Drosophila melanogaster: one gene and its partner. The protein of the gene in region 2 interacts with the protein of the main gene of each other region in a pairwise test. Each region holds a gene or a part of one and is shown on either strand. Other genes may lie near its edges. The genes, in order: CG15136 and CG32267.

The links.
Region 1: the proteins of CG32267 (region 2) and CG15136 interact in a two-hybrid assay, tested with the Drosophila melanogaster proteins (one large-scale study listed by BioGRID).

What each region holds. Positions count from the first base shown.
Region 1 is NT_033779.5:17,043,201-17,052,426, forward strand, and holds CG15136 (uncharacterized protein), read right to left. Parts: upstream 5,082-9,226; 5' UTR 4,929-5,081; intron 4,869-4,928; exon of another isoform or gene 4,866-4,868; 5' UTR 4,782-4,865; coding exon 4,571-4,781; intron 4,410-4,570; coding exon 4,048-4,409; 3' UTR 3,961-4,047; downstream 1-3,960.
Region 2 is NT_037436.4:3,468,988-3,477,514, reverse strand, and holds CG32267 (uncharacterized protein), read left to right. Parts: upstream 1-5,401; 5' UTR 5,402-5,473; coding exon 5,474-5,588; intron 5,589-5,658; coding exon 5,659-5,693; 3' UTR 5,694-5,960; downstream 5,961-8,527. Other genes in the region: CG42324 (uncharacterized protein), read right to left, coding at 4,808-4,828; CG14971 (uncharacterized protein), read left to right, coding at 6,513-7,127, 7,880-8,132, 8,193-8,527.

The DNA of each region.
Region 1 (9,226 bases), on a different chromosome or scaffold from region 2:
ATCAATTAAATTACGTAACTTTAAAACATTGCTCAGACATATAGCACAAGGTATCTGTGCTACTACAATGGTTTTATTTTTGTTATTCCAAACCAGATTTTTAACTGATTTTTTTTCAGTGTATTTTGATTAACAAAGAACGAGGACAGGTCATTCCGAACTGAACCGAGTCGAACAAACCGCTGACGACCGCAGGCATTTCATTTTAGCTCGTGAAATTTTCAAGTGAAAATTTCGTTTGCGGCTCGCACTAATGACGATAAATTGCGTCGCCATCGCACAGGGCACTATAAATAAGTTTTGCTCGGCAAGGCCCGACTTTTGACCCCGATTTAGGCCAAAAACGGGACAGGTGCACCCCATCAAGAAACGGTTTAAAAATGCTGCGCAATGCGTTCCTGCTTTCCAACTGGATGTAATTTCAATTTATCACATTTCAAGAGGAAGGGAACTTAACCATTGGTCAAAGGAGTATATCGTAGTATATAGTATATCATAGAGTGCAGGTAGATTTGGATAAACCCTTTTTGATATATTGTCGAGAGAAGCATGGTTGTGAACTAAAGGCTTTTTCAGATTGTTTCATAGTAGATAATATTTGCTATTCTAAAGTGGTGTTTGAAAAATAGCAGTATAGCTTTCGTATGCGTCAACTATTACAATATATTTTGGTCTGTCAACCTGTTGCCAAAATTCTGAAATGTCAGCTCGCCCACGATATGAAATATGTGTACATGTGTGTGTGAGGTGAAAAGTAGAAAACTGAGAACAGTTGAGTGGAAATTGCACAGTTGAGAAAAGTTGGGAACATCGATAATATATTTCATATTGGAAAACCAAGAGCAACGCACCCGATAGGAAAAACTTGGTAAATACTAAAACTCGCTGCCTGGAACCCTTTACGCACATCCACACCAACTAGACCGCAAGCACAGATATACAGATGAGGTCAAGCGATTAGGAATGCCGAAATTAATATAATTGATCCAAATGTTTATATGTCTTCAAGTAAATTTGGAGAAAAGCAGCTAGAAATGTGCAATGCTGACTAACAAATTTTTTTTTAAGTATTTTAAGTAAATGTGTGCTTTATAACAGACATGGATAGACTAGAACCCTTAGAATGTTAACCCTACTTTTGAGTTCTATTCTTTCGACTTCAGCTGTCCCTACGTGTATCCATGAAATTCAAACAAATGGCAAAGTTAAATTTGAAAATAATAGAAAAACTTTCCGCAGTCACTCTGGCAAGCGGCAACAACAATAGCAATAACAGCAGTAAAAGCAACAACGAACAAACAATAACAATAATGCAACTAAAATGAAACTATTTCGAGTGAAATAAATCTGTTAGAATGTGCAAAACTCCACTGCCAGCGCATTGCGGCTTGCATTTTTCGAAACGGACTCCAAACCGGAGATGTTTGCAGGGGGTGGCGATGGGTGGTGGGGTGGAAGTCCTCATGGGAGCCAAAGGGGGCGTGGCAGCAGCAACTGGAAGTGGAATCATTTTTATTGCCAAACGTGTTTGTTGCTCAATTTAACTAAAAGTGCTGCCAACTAAAAGAGAGAGGTGGATAAAGGAGTAGAGTGGCAAAAGTGAAAAAGGACCGAGGGAAAAGTCCCTTCGAAAACAGGCAGGAAAAGTATCCTACAAAATCTGTTGGGCTTGTGAGGCAAATAAGCCTTGAAAAACTATCGATTATCTAAGAATGTAATGCTGTGTACATATAATCCCAATTTTTATTATCTTGACAAATAGTTTATTAATATTAAAAATCTTATTTAAACCAGTTCGATCGATTTTTGGTAATAAATTATTTTTAAGGTATATTGTTTGAATTCAAATGGCCTAAGATACCTAAAAATCACACAGGATACTTAGCCAATACTAAAAACTGCAAGACAAGACAAACTTTTGTTGGTCATTGAACTGATTGCCATTTTAGCCGTTGCCATATCGTGGCATAAATATCACAAAATGAATTTATTTATAGGTGCATAAAGACAACCCGACTGTGTGCACTGCACTTATGTGTGGATATTTATTGCAGGCATTGTTTGCCCATATTCCTGTGTTGTCTATTTATTTGCCGCCTTCCGTTTTGTCATTGTGTTTATTTGGGACTTTCTTTTTCTGGCCCAATCCGTTCTGTTTTGTTTTGGTGATTTGAAATCGATGCATAAATAATGGTTTATGCCAGCGGCTTTGGTTTCTCCTGATTTTAACATTTCATGAGAGTCCCATACCGTGCGTTACGCAATGGGAATGTTATTATATATAATGTTTATCATATATAATGAAAAATAAATAAGTGAACACTACAATTTCTTGAATCGTAATATTCTTGTTGCAAAGTACTTATATTTTCGAAACGTACTGTCCTTCAGACGACGATAAGGGCGGAAAATCACAGAAATATGACAAACTTTTTCAATTGCACAATATACGGGCATAAATTTTATGCAATAAATAGCAACCTAAAACAAGCCAACAAAAAGGCTCGGAAAAAAGGACAAAGTTGCAGTCGAAAACGGGCTAAAACAAAAGATTGCCAAATCAACAATCAGGCAAAAGGGCGCGAAAGATCGTGAAAAGTTTTAGCCGCTTTCGTGACGTTTGCCAATTGCTGAATTCTCGATTCCAATGACAATCGCCCCAGGGCGAAACAACAACAACGGGGAGAGTAATAGTGGCAAAAACAAGGTGATGGCACGCCCACTTAGCCAGCTGCCAGTTCAACGCGCCCAAAAAGGGCAAAAGGAGCGAACGGGTTTCGTCGCTTACGTGACTTGTTTCATAAACAAACAGAAGGCGCAGAAAATTGGCACAAAATTGCCAAGCGAATCCTTGCCAAAGGACCAAAAATTGGGGGGCCCAGGTGTATGGTCCGGCACCTCCATTCGACTCCTTTTGCTCACATGTCCCGCTGACATTGAGCGGCGTGAAAGTTTCGCCCATGGAGAAGCTCCATTGGCAATTTGGCACTTTTGCATACGAGTTGGTAATTGTTTCCGCCAAGCATTTGTGCAGCTGCAGATGGGACTGCACTGCGTGTCCTTTTCGCCGCGCTTATCATTCAAAAGTCGTGGGCAGCTGCGTTATCCGTGGCTCGGGACATCAGACATCGGGGTACGGACAGCTCTAAATGAGACATTGCAAGGACACGAAAGTTTTCTCATTACTAGACACACACTCCAGCACCCAAACGCCTTATGAGTTTTCCTTCCTTATCCAAAAATTGAGTAAAACTAAAATAATCAAGAAACGAAAAAAATGAAAAGTTGTCGCCACTTTGCTAACAGACAATGCAAAAGTGTGCAGTCTAAGAAAATGTTCGAACTTTATTTGGACGAGTAAAAAAACGCTAGTTTAAATGAAAATTTAATTTGCATAGCCACTCGTATTTGAAAGTGAAGGTGTTTTTTAAATTCCACATGTTATTTTATTGAGTTTAAAAATTAGTTATTTAAGCCCGTACTATTTTCAGTGGTAGTTAAATCTGAAGGCAGTCCTGCTGCCATGCTACCCATAGACAGGTGAATCAAGCTTTCAGCTGCCATCCAGCGAGGAGAATTCTGCGTGCGGCAAAAGTTTTCATGCATATTCAACATCATTAGAAAGTCAGGACAAAGTAGCTGAAGGCAGAAAGGCAAGAGCCTTCGTGGAAAGTAAAACAAACCCGTTTAGGGCGCTAAAATGTAGGCTATAAATTATGTCATAGGTATAGTCGACCTTTCTCCACGGAGCTTCCTTTCTTCCAGTCTGCCGTAAGTGGGCTTGAAAGGAGTGCATTTAGAAAGTTCTGAAAAGCGTCTTAATTGCAACGACGTTGGAAAATACCTGTAGAATTTAATTCTTCGCGCTGGAAGCGTATTAAATTCAGAAAAAATGTAATTACTTACTAAAAGGGAAATCCCTTATAAGCACCTATGGTATAGGAAAAAAATACACAAATTGAGAGAGTAAGGAAGCAATTTACTGAGTTGCATGTAGGTGTGAAAACAAATGGAAAATAAATATATAAATTTGCCATTCCGTGGGACCTACATGACCAGACAGCACTTTTTGGCCGGTCTGGCGGAGTGGCGATTCTGAAAGCCATTCCTTTTTTCCTCATCTAAAGGTTCCTCCACATCACCCACAGTTTCGCGAACTTCCATTGCCTGGCTAACTGATGTGCTTCCTAGCTTGGGATCATAGGACTCGGCTCCGATATTCATGGCCTGGACTTCGTCAAACTCCAGTTCGCCAACCTCCTCCTCGCCAGGATCCAGGCTGTAAACGAAACCCGGATGGCGCAGACCCTGCTGCTGCTGGATGCTGGCCTCACGCCAGATGGACTCGTAACGGGGCTCGTAGCATATGTCCTCCGAGGTTGCCGTACTCCACCGGGTGTACGTAGATACTGCATGGGTATTAAATTTATAAATCCATCAGGAAATTAAAAAGAAATAAATAAATGCACAATACTAAAAACCTATGCAAGTCAAAGCATAATATATATAAAGGGCTTCAAAATACAATATATATTGTTTTAAATAAACATTATTTCCTTTCCGTACTTACACTCATCAAATAGCTTTTTGGCCACCTGGCTGGCCTTGAAGTCGGGCACAAACACAGGTGCGTTGGGGTTTAGGCGTCGGTCCAGCGGTCGGCTAACGACGGGGGGCGTGTCGCCCGCGGCGGGCGGAGGGCAGCTGCCAGGAGTCGAATGGGCGTCACCCACTTCCCCTGCAAGTTCGCTGGTCGATGCGGTGGCGGTGTCCTTCAACATGGTCAGCAGAGCACTTAACACTTGAATAGTTTTTCAAATCTACATTTGAGTTCCGGCCGGACGATTTCAAGTAGCTTTTCTATTCTGCTTAAATGCTCAGTTGACAATTATGGCAGGGCAAACTACCTGATTATTTGATTTTCTTACCGGTATTCAGTGCCAAATATTAATGAATGACCAAAGACAGCCGCTTCCAAAATATTTTGCCAAAACTTTGGTATTGGCCGATTTTTGCTATGAGGGTGTTTATCTCTCAACGTTTGTCTTCACGAAGTAATTTGTGTTCCTACTATTTTTAATGCTTGGCCTTTGAAATTTAATTGGATAAGTAATGAAAAGTCAACTACGATTAAAGCTACACTATTATTTACATACACAATTTATGATTGCAGAACGTACAACTCAATTAAATAGAAAACTATTTCAAAAAAAGTAAGTTAACCATGCTCCTTTGTCCCGATTCCTTGTAATTTCTTTGAAATGTCAAAGGTTATTTACCTCCATTCAATTTCTGTTAGATTGTTATTTTGAGGATTTATGGGTTTATCCATCTTATTGGGGCTTAACCCGAAAACTGCTTCAAATCCATGCATGCCATAATTCGATTTCATAAATTTGATTCCACTTTCAACTGTCATGTTTGCTCCGCTTTTCTCGTTGCAAATAAAGTTTGACTTTTAATTAAATGGCCGAACTTACAATAATTTTAATAAGCCGTATAAATAAATTATAACAAATTTCACACAAAGTGAGATAAAATTGCCTAAAACTCATCCTGACATTCCATCTTGCTGGTGCGTGTGTGTCAAATTTAATTTTGTGAATACCGCAAATTGACAAATATTTTCGTTTGGCCAACAAGAAGAAGACCAAAAGCACCCAGCACTCTAATTCAATCTGGCTGGTGTATTTTAATTGATTTGCGCTAAAATTTATTGATTTCATTTTGTCAACAGTTGTTGCCAGATGAACCGCAAAGAACGCCTGAAAACCTCAGACCCATTCACCCATTCAGCCATTTGCCCAACTTGAGCTCATTATGGCAGCTTCAGCCCCCTTGGAACCCAATATTTGCATTCATTTTGTGTGTGTGCTAATTTGCATGTGCGAGTGTGTTAAAACATAAATTAGTTGACTCTGCCGACACACCCACACAATCGAATAAAATAAAGAGAAAGGGGTTAGAGAAAGTTTCAACCGAGAACCGAGAATTTATTGCCAATTCATTGCATTCGCGCTGCTGTATCGAGCGATTTCGCTAACCGAACAAATAGCGGTTTTAACTGTTTTTAGTTAATTGCGCAAATTACTTGCGCTAATTTATTGGCCATTTTGTGGAATAGACAAGGTTTTTCAGCTTATAGGTTTAGTCCGACTAATTTGTTAGTTTCTGAAGGGATGTTTTTTTTTTTTTTGACTTCTTATTCTATACATTTTGTGTAAAAAAATACCATGTAGTTCTTCCTGTTTCAATAACACTATTAAGCCATTTGACAATTATCTTCGACAGTCATAAATCCGTTAAATTAAATAAAAGGCCAAAGTTTATTTAGCTACTCAATCAGGGACACAAACAACACTCAAATTGTTGGACAGTTTCAGATTCAAATGGCAAGCGGTGGTCGAAGGGCAAAGTAAATAGATGAAACGAAGTCTTCGCACTTTTGTAAAGTTGCTGCTCAGTGTTGGCGTATTTCCCTTGAAGGAGTAACGTATCATATCTTTTATTCAGCTTTGAATGAAGAAGTCATGTCAGAATATGCCTCAGATATAAACCGTTAATATAAAAACGAATAATATTAAATTGTATTATATTACATTATATTATTTGTGAAGGGAAAGTAGCCAAGATGACAGCTCTGGTCGCTCAGCAGTCAGTCAGTCACCCACTTGGTCAGTCACATGGGCTGCACATTCAAGTGTCACTGATTTGAGGATAAGCACTTCACAGGCAACTTGATAGCCCCCCAATCCGGACCCCCTCCATATATATATGTATATACATATATCTTTGTGTATGTATGTATGCTGTAGTGGCATTGGAGCGGTTGTGCCGTGTTCCGACGGGTTGCTTGGTTGCCTGGCCAGTCAGCCGTGGTCGGGAAATATCACAGCAGTACTCTCTCTCATTCGAGGGCCACTCGTGCAAAGCGAACTAATTTGAATGTATAAAATCAGCAGCACTGCCGGGAAGCCCCACAGGGACAGACATACATATCCGCAATAATATATATAAAGGGACAGCAGATAGACAAACTGACTGACTAACTGACTGGTCGAATGACTGGCCATGGAGAGTGATGAAAACAAAGGCCATCATTAAGCGTTCCATCTTTGAGCGGCTTTAATTGATGTGCGTTAAATCGTTGACAAACTTGATTAGGAAGGCCAAAAGGGGTTATTTTTTTATTTGTTAAATTGCATAAATAAATTTCATTAGGCTGTAAGTGTCTTGAGCTCAATTATGAAATAGAAATTCGTTTTTATACCAATTATACTGCAAATAGCTTTTCTTCTGTGTGAACAATTTCTTGGAAACTAACATTTAAACGAATTGAACGTACTATTAGAAATGAAATATTGAATATTATTTAGGTTTTTTTGTCATGCATCCAAATATAGTCTAGACTCTCATATTTGCTTTTAACCCTTTACCCACGTTTTCCCTAGATGTTCATTTGGTCCGTTAGACCCGCTTTTCCGACTTCCCATATTTTTTATCGCCCGCCTAAGCAAACACACATAGACAAGGTGTCCAAATTACTGCCGGTTGTTGGTGTAGTCTTGCCACATGTTTTTGCTGTTGCAGCAGGGTTGCTGGTGTCGTTGCTTGGTGTCAGTGTTGCCACCTTGTTGGCGAAAGCAACTGCAAAAACAAGAAAAGCTAGAAAAGTCTCTATAACCGAAGCAGAAACCACTCTTACCTAAAAAAAAACTAATTTTAAAAACGGCACTATAAACTTTGGAAAATATTAAAAAGAAGGTTTAAAACAATTATACATATATTTAAATCACTTTAAAGGCTATTAAAATGAAGATGGCTTTAAAAGATTAAAACTCCTGCTGTTAGGGTATAGGAAGAGAAAACAGCGACTCAAACAGTTGCAAATGTTGCATTTGCATGCATGGCCAGTCGGCAGCAAATTTCACCTGTCCCCTTGCACTCCTCTTCACACCCCAAACCATCGTCCTGGCCACATCCATCGGCTGGCCAGTTCGGGTGAGCGTTGTCGTTGCCATTTAGACAAGTGACATATGTGCCAGGCACAGGTGAAAGGGGCCGGAGAAAGGGGAGAAAGCGAACGAGAGAGACAGCTCATGCAACATGCAAAATAGTGTGTCAGAAAGGAAAGCCGACTCGTCTCTGTTTGCCCCCCGGACAGGCCACACGCCCCTTCTCACCTTCTCGCCACCCACCCAGATCTCCTGCATCCTGCAGAGAGGGAAAGGATGTCGCCGTCTCCATATGAGAATAGTGCCTGCAGTCCCGTATCAGAAAGCTTCCTAGTAAGTTTGCTCCCATATGAAGTTAGTCTTAATGATCTGCTATTGATCAAATTACAAAACTACTTCATAACTAGTTTGAATTTCTGTTTCAGTTTGAGTTGATTATTAAATAAAGGTATCCTTCTAAGGAGATGGCATGGATATCTACGTTACTTCGGCTTTCAGGCACTAGGATTAAAATATATATATATAAAAAACTTTAAAGATGTAAATGTGGGCTTAACAGTTTAGTATATATTTAATACATTTTTTTGCAATGCCACTGAGGAAAGTTGACGCTTTGGCAGTGTGCAAATTGCAGGAAGTAACGTACGCCAAACAAACAGGGCGACAAACAAACAAACGAGCAAAACTAAACAACAAACTCGTGTGCGAATCTTTAGTTTCGCCTCGTTTCTGTGTGAGAGTGTGGGCTTTTTTCGCAGCTGTTGGTCCTTGTTTTTGACACAGTTCAGGGGAGCAGTCAGCGTTATATTCGTGTCTTTCTTTTTGCCATTTTGCACTCTGCTCTGTTGTTGGCTTCCGCTTTTAGTTGCAATTAAACAAGCCAGTGCACCGCACAGACAGAAAGGCAGAAATGCAGAAGGACATCGCTCATCAGTGCAATGTCCAATTTGCATGCATCGCTCCCTGGTTCCTTCACTTCGCCAAAGCCATACGGGTTGTATCCCTCTGAATCTCTTGTTGTAACTCACAATCAGATGCACGAGCTGTACGGGAAAAGGGAGCTGAAGTGGCTTAAATTGAATAAAAATGATGGTGGGACCTAGTAAAATCACTTTAAAGTTTACTTTAAGATTTTTGCAGTCTAAGAAAGGAACTTGAGCTAGATAAATATGCTCTATTTCCATTGCATAATTGGTTTTCAAATATTTTTTTATTATTATAATAAATATGTTTCATTTTACAAGCTAATAATGAAATTATCTGAATTCTTT
Region 2 (8,527 bases):
TGTTTGCTTTAAGAATTAAAATACATTCATTTCAAATTACATTCATTTTAAATCTTGCCATAATAAAACCAAAATTTCCTGTTAAATCCCTACCCCTTACAACAATTTATATACATACATAGAAACCAGGCAAATTGAATTGGTTTGAACATTTGCCCGCATTCATTCAAACATTTCTCATCAACTTAAGCTGCTCTGGCTTGGAAAATTTCAATATAATTGATTTTTCGATCAGACAAAGCCATTCCCAAATAAATTTCCCCATTTCTATCGAAAACAAGAGAAATGCTAATCAAGCCGGTCAAAACAAACCGAAAGGCGAGAGAAATTTATGTAGGAGACATATGAAGTCATACACACTTGGAACTTTTCCAGTTTTGCGCACAGACGAGCACAAAGAGCAGATAAAGAAAATTCCGCACACACTACACACACTCGAAGTTTTCCGAGTTTTCCGGCCGCCCAAAGGAAATGAGCAAGACATTGAGTCACCTCAGATTGTGGGAGTGTGGAAAAGCAATCAAAATACGGCAGAGACAAAGGCGAAGATAAATAGAGGCAGGCAGACAAGGAAAATATTGCCTTTTCAGTGGCGAGGTGGCAACAGGAGGAGACAGAAACCGCCGTGGAAATGGGGTAGAAAAACCAAAAGGCCTTCGAAAACCACTTTTTCAAATATATATAGATTTGAGATTTAAATTCCAATTAAGTAACAAAACGAAATGTCTCATCTGAATCAGCAAAAGTCACTGTATAGCTTAATATTTAAATTCTTTTATATGGTGTCCAAAAGTATGCTACAATAAAATATTATTTCGACTAGGTGACTTTCCATGCCAACGCATTTCCATTTTTACGAGCCCCCTCATGTATGCGGCAATAAATTAAATCAAAACATTCAGGACTTGACCTTGAGTGCCCGGGACAGATGAACACATCAAGGATGCACAAAGGGCAAGCAATTTTACGGCATGCAGTCCATTGGCGGTCAGTTTGGGGGCCATGAACCCCGCATATATCCTTTCGTTTCGTGTGACCGTGTGTGTGTGTGTGTTTGTCAGGACCCCGGGTGCAATTTGCCTTCGCAACATACAGTGTGCACTCACTCACTCACTTACATGTTTGTGGGCGGGCAAATAAGCATAACGAGCTCCATTATCCTTGGGGAAAACTGGTTTGGGATGCAGCCTTCTTGCTCTTGCATTACGCATACGCCATGTGACTCACAGCGGAAAGCGCGGAGGGCGACTGGGGAAAACTCTTTTGTTGCTGCACCGCCAAATTGAAATAATATGCAGGGGACAGCATATATATATATGAAAAGGAAATGGAAAAGCAAGTTCCAAGCATCAGGAGATGAAAAAAGCATGAGTCAGCAGATGTTATATATACACTTATCGCAGGATATGCGAGACCAAAGGATTAAGGGCGCTGTGGTCGCTCGAAAAAGGGGGGATTTGTTTAATCGCAGAAATGTTGCTTTTAACAAGTGCTCCAAATAGTAAAGTTCATATTAAAATAAATAAAAGTAATTTATCATTTATGACCATATGGTTACCTATAAATTGTCATTTGTTTTCCCTTAGAATTCAAGGGTACCAAAACAAGTTATTTAATACTTTTCCTGTGCATTTAAAAAACAGAAAATAATAACATAATGCCTATGACAAGGACGCAGGACATCATCCAGCCGGAGGATTGAGATCCTGTGGACTAGAGGCCATTGTACACACGTAGGTCACAAGCGACAGTTCCTGCTCCTCTTTTGACTTTTGTTTTTGATAGCGAGCTTGAAACGAGTTTCCCCCTTTTGCAGAACTCCCATCCAGCCACCCTCCTGGGTTTTCCCCATTTTCCGTTTTGCCGGCTGGGGCGGCATCATTAACATTATGTAAGCAACAACAACAACAACAACCGGCGACAGCAACAGACGGTAGTGCTTTCACCTTTCTCCTCCTGCAAAACTACACCTGAAGTTGTAATTTATGCTCTGACAAAATTTTTTTTTTTTTTTTTTTTTTTTTTTTTTTTTTTTTTACGATGATGTTTTTATTATTTGATCAACGCACTGTTACCCATGCGGCAACTTAATTTGATCTGCTTAAATTATTTTATTTTACAATGTGTCTTGGTTACTTAAGACTAACAGATTTTTAATCCTAAAAATGATAGGGAGAATTATAATAGTTGATATAACATAGTAATTATTATTTATTTGATTATTCTAATGAATTTTAAAACTAAGACTTTCTAGGTCAAAACCAGGTTAGGGAGGTCATGAGGGTGGTGTCGCTTGAGTCTTCTTTTGACTCTAGTCCGAGGGTCAGCATTGACCACAGCTGCAGTTCCTAGCTTCCTTGCTAGGCTGTTGGGGTGTACAACTGACAAAATGGCGCACACGGAAAAAACACAGAGAATTGGGTGGTGGAAAGTGAACGGGGGGGTTAGACCTCTCACGTAACAACAAATGGGGCTAAAAAGGTGGTACAAAGGAGGCCGCATAGTTGGCCTATGTGTTGCACTTGACGGGGTAGCTACTTTTATGTATTTATTTATGTTTATACATATATGTATCTCAGGCGCTTGGCCTTTATGACCGCATAAATTAAAGCATCAACCATTGAAATATTTTATCATGAGTAACAGAAGGAGATGTAAGGATTTTTAAACGAGCTACACTGTGTCCTTAGTAGTTATAATCTGTGAAATAATAGAAGGAATCTTAAAGGTTTGAAAATTAGTTTCATAACTATGAAACTGAGTATCTTGTTAACACTTTTCCCATTCATGTTCAAACTTCGTTAAAGAGATTTCTTTTGTTTAATAAAGTCGATTTTTCGTGATTTTAATCCCAGCTTTCCTGAAAATTAATTTTACGACTGCAGCACTTGCCATCCGCATGAAGAATATCTGCGATTTTCAACTTTACATCCCACGCTGTTGGCAGCAAAAACTTTAATGGCCGGCCATAAAGGAGGAACCACACCGAATTGTTTGTACTGCCGCCACGATTGCGAGTGGAAGAAAAGCCAAAGATACATAAGCAAACACATGCATTCGCCTAGGTGAAAAGTTTTGAGCCAACTGCATAAACGAAACTTCTTATAAAGTCTATAAAACGTAATGACTCGCGCTACATGCGCGCCCAGAAAAGTATGCAACAAAAGTTCCGCTGACTTTGACTTGACAGGATGAAAATCGAGCGGAGCACAGGACTCTGGGAAATTCCAACAGGAGAATATTAAGTTTTCCACGGTCCCAGATGGGGGAATTGATTAAAGCCGCAGTGGCAGGGAATGAGACGGATTTGGTGCAGGAATTAAACGAAATTGGAAAAGTTGGAGGCGCAACGATGAAATCTTTAAATCTGATTAAGTTCAGACTAATTTACCAAAGTACCAAGGAGTTTTTACAGATCTTAGAGAGAAGCTTTCCTAAATATTTTTTATTAAGACACAAAAATGGTTGCCTGATTAAAAATTCAAACGAATTTAATTTAACAAATCTGCCGAATGCCATTGCTAATTCACCAAATTAATGTCAACAGCAATTCGGGTCAGAAGGGCCCAAATGATATTGCATTGAATAAATTAAATTAAATACTTTACTATTTCTACATTTATTGACAAATAGAAAGCAAAGCTCAATCAATTGAACAATTTTAAAAGTATATTGGCGAATGATATTAATATTGAATTTTCCTGGAAATACCACATCTAATTATTGTAATGCAAATATTGTCCAAATTAATTTAGACTTGTTTGTCTTGCTAATTGACAACGATCCCACATTTCCCTTAGGTAATATAAACTTTGAATTCTTTTTATCTGAATTTAATATGCCTGCTTTTCAGTGCTGATTACTTGGATTTTTTCCCATAGATCTTCGCTCTTGTTCGGGCTTTTCGAAGCTCCACTGTAGCGACCTCCTCACTGTGCATTCGTGACGTCAAGTCGAGTCGATTGGGGAGTGTGACTGCACTTGAAAATCGACCAAGGCGCTCGGCAATCGTTGGTGGCTGAAGGATGGTTGAAGGATGAAGGGTTTTCTGCAACAAAATGTCAAATCACCGACACCAGGCCACCGATACTAGGACACTTTCACCCACACCGACAAGAGCAAACAGCAAATTTGCAAGCTACATCGCGCCAATGTGTTTGTATTGGCTGTATCTGTGTTTGTACTGTGTGTGTGCGTGTGTGCTTGGGCGGACTGGCAATTGAAATTGGTTTGCAAAATGGCAGCTATTTATATTTGGCCAGGAGTCGTCTGCACTTGTCACACTGATTTCTGCCGATTAGAAATTAATCGAATTTTACTGTCAAATCGAAAGCGGCGGGCGTTCAGGAAGTTGAAGTTACGCTGCCATGGAAATGCAAAAACAAGCAAGCACAGACACGCACGCATACCAAAGCACAGAGGCGGGAGTATCCTGAAGATTAGGGTGATTCGAAAAATAAAATTGTACTGAGATTTATTTCGAGGTACATCCCCAGAAACTTGAAAAAAAAACTTTATACAACATTATATATGGTTTTTCAAAAGGGTTAAATGTTACTATCACAACAAATCTTTATTGGTCCTTTTAAATTGAGCCACCCTAATGGACGCACACACACACCCACACTTCCGCAGACTGACAGACACTGACACTGAATGTTACGCAGTCGGCGGTCTTGTAGGCAAAATACCGTAACATTTCGCCCGATTGCTGATAATCTGCCTTTATATAAGCTGGGAAAATTAAAAGGACACCCATCAGAGGTCCTTTGCGATATTTGATTGGCATTGCTTTGACTCCTCTCACCTGTTCCACAACTGTCGACATTTTGGTCTGTGTTTTATTTAACTAACTGCACTGCTCGCTATTTTGCTTCACTTTGTCGCTGTGCTTTTCGCACTTTTCGTTTCAAAAAAGGATTCGAAAAATTTATTTTTTAAAACCGCACCGCATTTTGGTTGTGTTTGCTTTTTCTTGAGAGATTTTACAATTGTACGAGCTTTGGGGGAAAATTCTTTAGCTTCGAACGCGCAACGAATCCGACGAGTTGCTGCTGCTGAAATCAACTAAAAACCCTTTTTTGGCGAGCAGGATACTCACGGATTTTTATCCTTGCTTAAGAGTAGTGTGACCATCCATGTGGTTGGAAATATACCGAAATATACCGGTGGCAGGATTAGGAAAAAGGTGCAGCACTCCGATATTTTTGCTCACAGCTGTTAACAGAGGTTAACAGTGCTGATTGTATTTCAATGTAATTGAATTAAATTAAAATACATAACATACATAACTAAAAAACATAATTATTATAATTATTATTATTGCAATGTTTGTTTTCTACTGAATATGACATATGGAAATATTTGCCGCACTGTATGTTTCAGCAAGCCAGGAACGGTCACTCTGACAACTTTTTGGTGCGACTCGCACGTTTTTCTTTGTAAATAAATAAAAAAAATATATTAATCAAGGATGTTCCGCCTGCAGCAGTCACAACCCGATCCCGCCGAGGAGCAGAAGCGCGTGGCAGCCGAAGTCCGCTTCAATTTCATCCTATTTGGAGCCGTAATAGCCGCTGTTCGCTTGGGTACGTGAAATTCTTATGTAAAGTCACTAAAGTTACTAATATTTTCCATTTGTTTATCTTGTGTAAATAGCTCCCATAGTCCTGAAGCATTTAAATACGGCGTAGAAGAAAAAATGATCGAAGAAGACTAAAAGCTGTCTACTTATTTAAAAACGTTATCAATTACCTAGTTGTTCAAGAAATTATAGCAAAATCCTAAGCAACTGGCACGCGAAATGCATTTATTTAAAAGCACTCTGACCCATTTGATGTCTTTTAAAGTTTAAATCGATGCATTGTAAATGTTTGGTAACTGTCGAGCGAATGGAAGCGAATAAAAAACAAGAAACATGTAACTTATAAGCCAAGGCTTTTAATGTTAAAAAATACTATAAAAACATATAAGAATGTGGATCTTTTAACGGGCAATGGGTATCTAGTCTTAAAATGAAATTAAACCATAATAAAACAAATCTTATTGTGAACAATCCCTGTTCAAATAATTTTAAAGCTTCCGCAATCGATATATCGATAACGCACTCCCATTAGCCACCAGAGCTGGCACATCTAGCCCAAATCGCTGTACTGCTCCTCCCACGCCAGTCGATTCTGGCGCAAAACAAGCCGGGCGCCCATCACTGCCTGTGTATAAACAGTTGGCAAGAAACGAAGTCGAAAAACAGAAGTTTTGCTCGAAATGGCAGCGTAAAAAACCATTAAAGCCACTTTCATTACTGCACGGCCGAGTCGGAATATATACATATATAGAATAGTGACAGATAACAGGCGGAGAGGCGGAAAAGCAGCGGAACACCCGGAACATATTGATACATATGGACGTAGACTTCAAGATAACGAAAGAAGTAAGTTGCCGCGTCGCGTTTTCCATACATTTACCTTTCACTAGCTGTTTCTTTAGCTTTCAGGCATTTCCGATAATATATAATGGTGGCGGCCAAGTACGAGCGGCTGAATACCAGTGGTGAGGCGGCCGGGAACGGAAATGGGAATGCCAGCGATGCAGAAGACGAGGAGATCGAACTCCATTTGGCGCAGAAGACGCAGCTGGGTAATGGCCATCGGTTGCGCCAGAGCAACTTCAAGTACGCCAGCGGAAAGTGCGGATCCGGAGAGGCGCCGTGCACCAACGAAACGGCCACGTTGGCCCAGGAGAACATGATGATGCAAATGGCCGTGGGTACGCTGGCCATTATCTTCCTGTATCTGGCATTATCCATATCGCTGACATTCTACCAAACGGACATCAACCGGCAGATGCCCTTTCCCCTGGCCATCGTAACCTATCATTTGGTTGTGAAGTTCCTTCTGGCCGCCGCGGCGCGCAGAATCTACAGGATGCGAGTGGGCCGATCGCGGGTTCAGTTGGATTGGAGGCTCGCCCTGCGGAAAATGGCACCCACGGGAGTTGCCAGTGCCATCGACATTGGATTCTCCAACTGGGGCCTGGCCCTGGTGCCCATTTCCCTCTACACCATGACCAAGTCCTCGACCATTGTTTTTATCCTGCTGTTCGCCATCGCTTTTGGACTGGAGAAGAAGGTAAGCCAATGTGCTATATGCAAATACATACTGAAATAATTATATTTAAAATCACGTAAACAAGTTTTTATGAGCGTTATCTACTTAACTGTATAAAAAGACCTTACAGGTGCAAAAATGTTTACAACTTTTAAAGCTTCTTATCAAGTAATTTGACTTAAAGGGAATTAGATATAATATAAGAACATACTGCTTAAACATTTTAGTCATTAACAGTTTTCAAGTAATGGTATTGATATCCCTCAACGATTGCGAAACATTTTTGGAAACCAAGTAATTTCAGTATTTTATCAAATATATATAAGTTCTTTGATCATATTTTTACCTATTGAAATCAAAACAAATGCACTTAATGAGACTTGATTATTTTCCAACAGCAACACGATAAAGAAAAGATAAAAAACATTATCTCGGATATTATTTTTGTAGACCACAAATGTTGCATTATTATCAGTCAATTGTAAGCAATCCATTTACCTAGTCACTTAACTTGTAGATAACGAATTTGGCATATTTATAAACATGCGATGATGTTGATATTAACTTTAGACCAAATGCTTATCAGTTAGATAATAAAAAAGGAAATAAAAATAGCACCAAACAGGTTTTATATGTGCTAAGTATTTGAAACCTGCTAGTGTAGTTTCTTATGACTAGACCTGAATTGGTAAAACCCAAGAAGTGAATAAGAATTATCAAAAATTGCACTTTCTTTGTGTCAAAATGGTATTAATGGCATTATTTACTTTCAGAGCTGGTATCTGGTCTCGATTGTGGGCCTGATAGGCACTGGCCTTCTGATGTTCACCTACAAGTCAACGGACTTCAATGCCCTTGGTTTCTTCTTCATCCTTTTCGCCTCGCTGAGCAGCGGACTGCGATGGAGTTTCGCGCAGTTCATAATGCAGAAATCGAAGCTAGGCTTGCACAATCCCATCGATATGATATATTACATGCAGCCGTGGATGATTGCCTCGCTGGTGCCCCTCGTAATTGGAATCGAAGGTTAGTTTGTGGCTTATTACTTGAAAATATGTTGGTAATCACACCCCCAATCCTCTCCAGGTGCCGGGCTCATCGCGGTAATAGAAGATCTGCACAACCACACTTCGAATGAGATAACTTGGGCCATTGCGAGGATATCAGCGGGCGCTTTGCTGGCTTTTCTCATGGAGTTCAGCGAATTCTTGGTGCTCTGCAAGACCTCCAGTCTGACGCTCTCGATAGCCGGCATTTTCAAGGATATCTGCCAGTTGGCACTAGCCGTGACTATCAGAAAAGACCACCTGAGTGTCATCAACTACATTGGCTTGATCATTTGCCTGGCTGGTATCGTTTGCCACCTACTGCACAAGTACTCCAATATGAAGGAGATGCAGCGGCAGCAGGAGTTGCAGCTC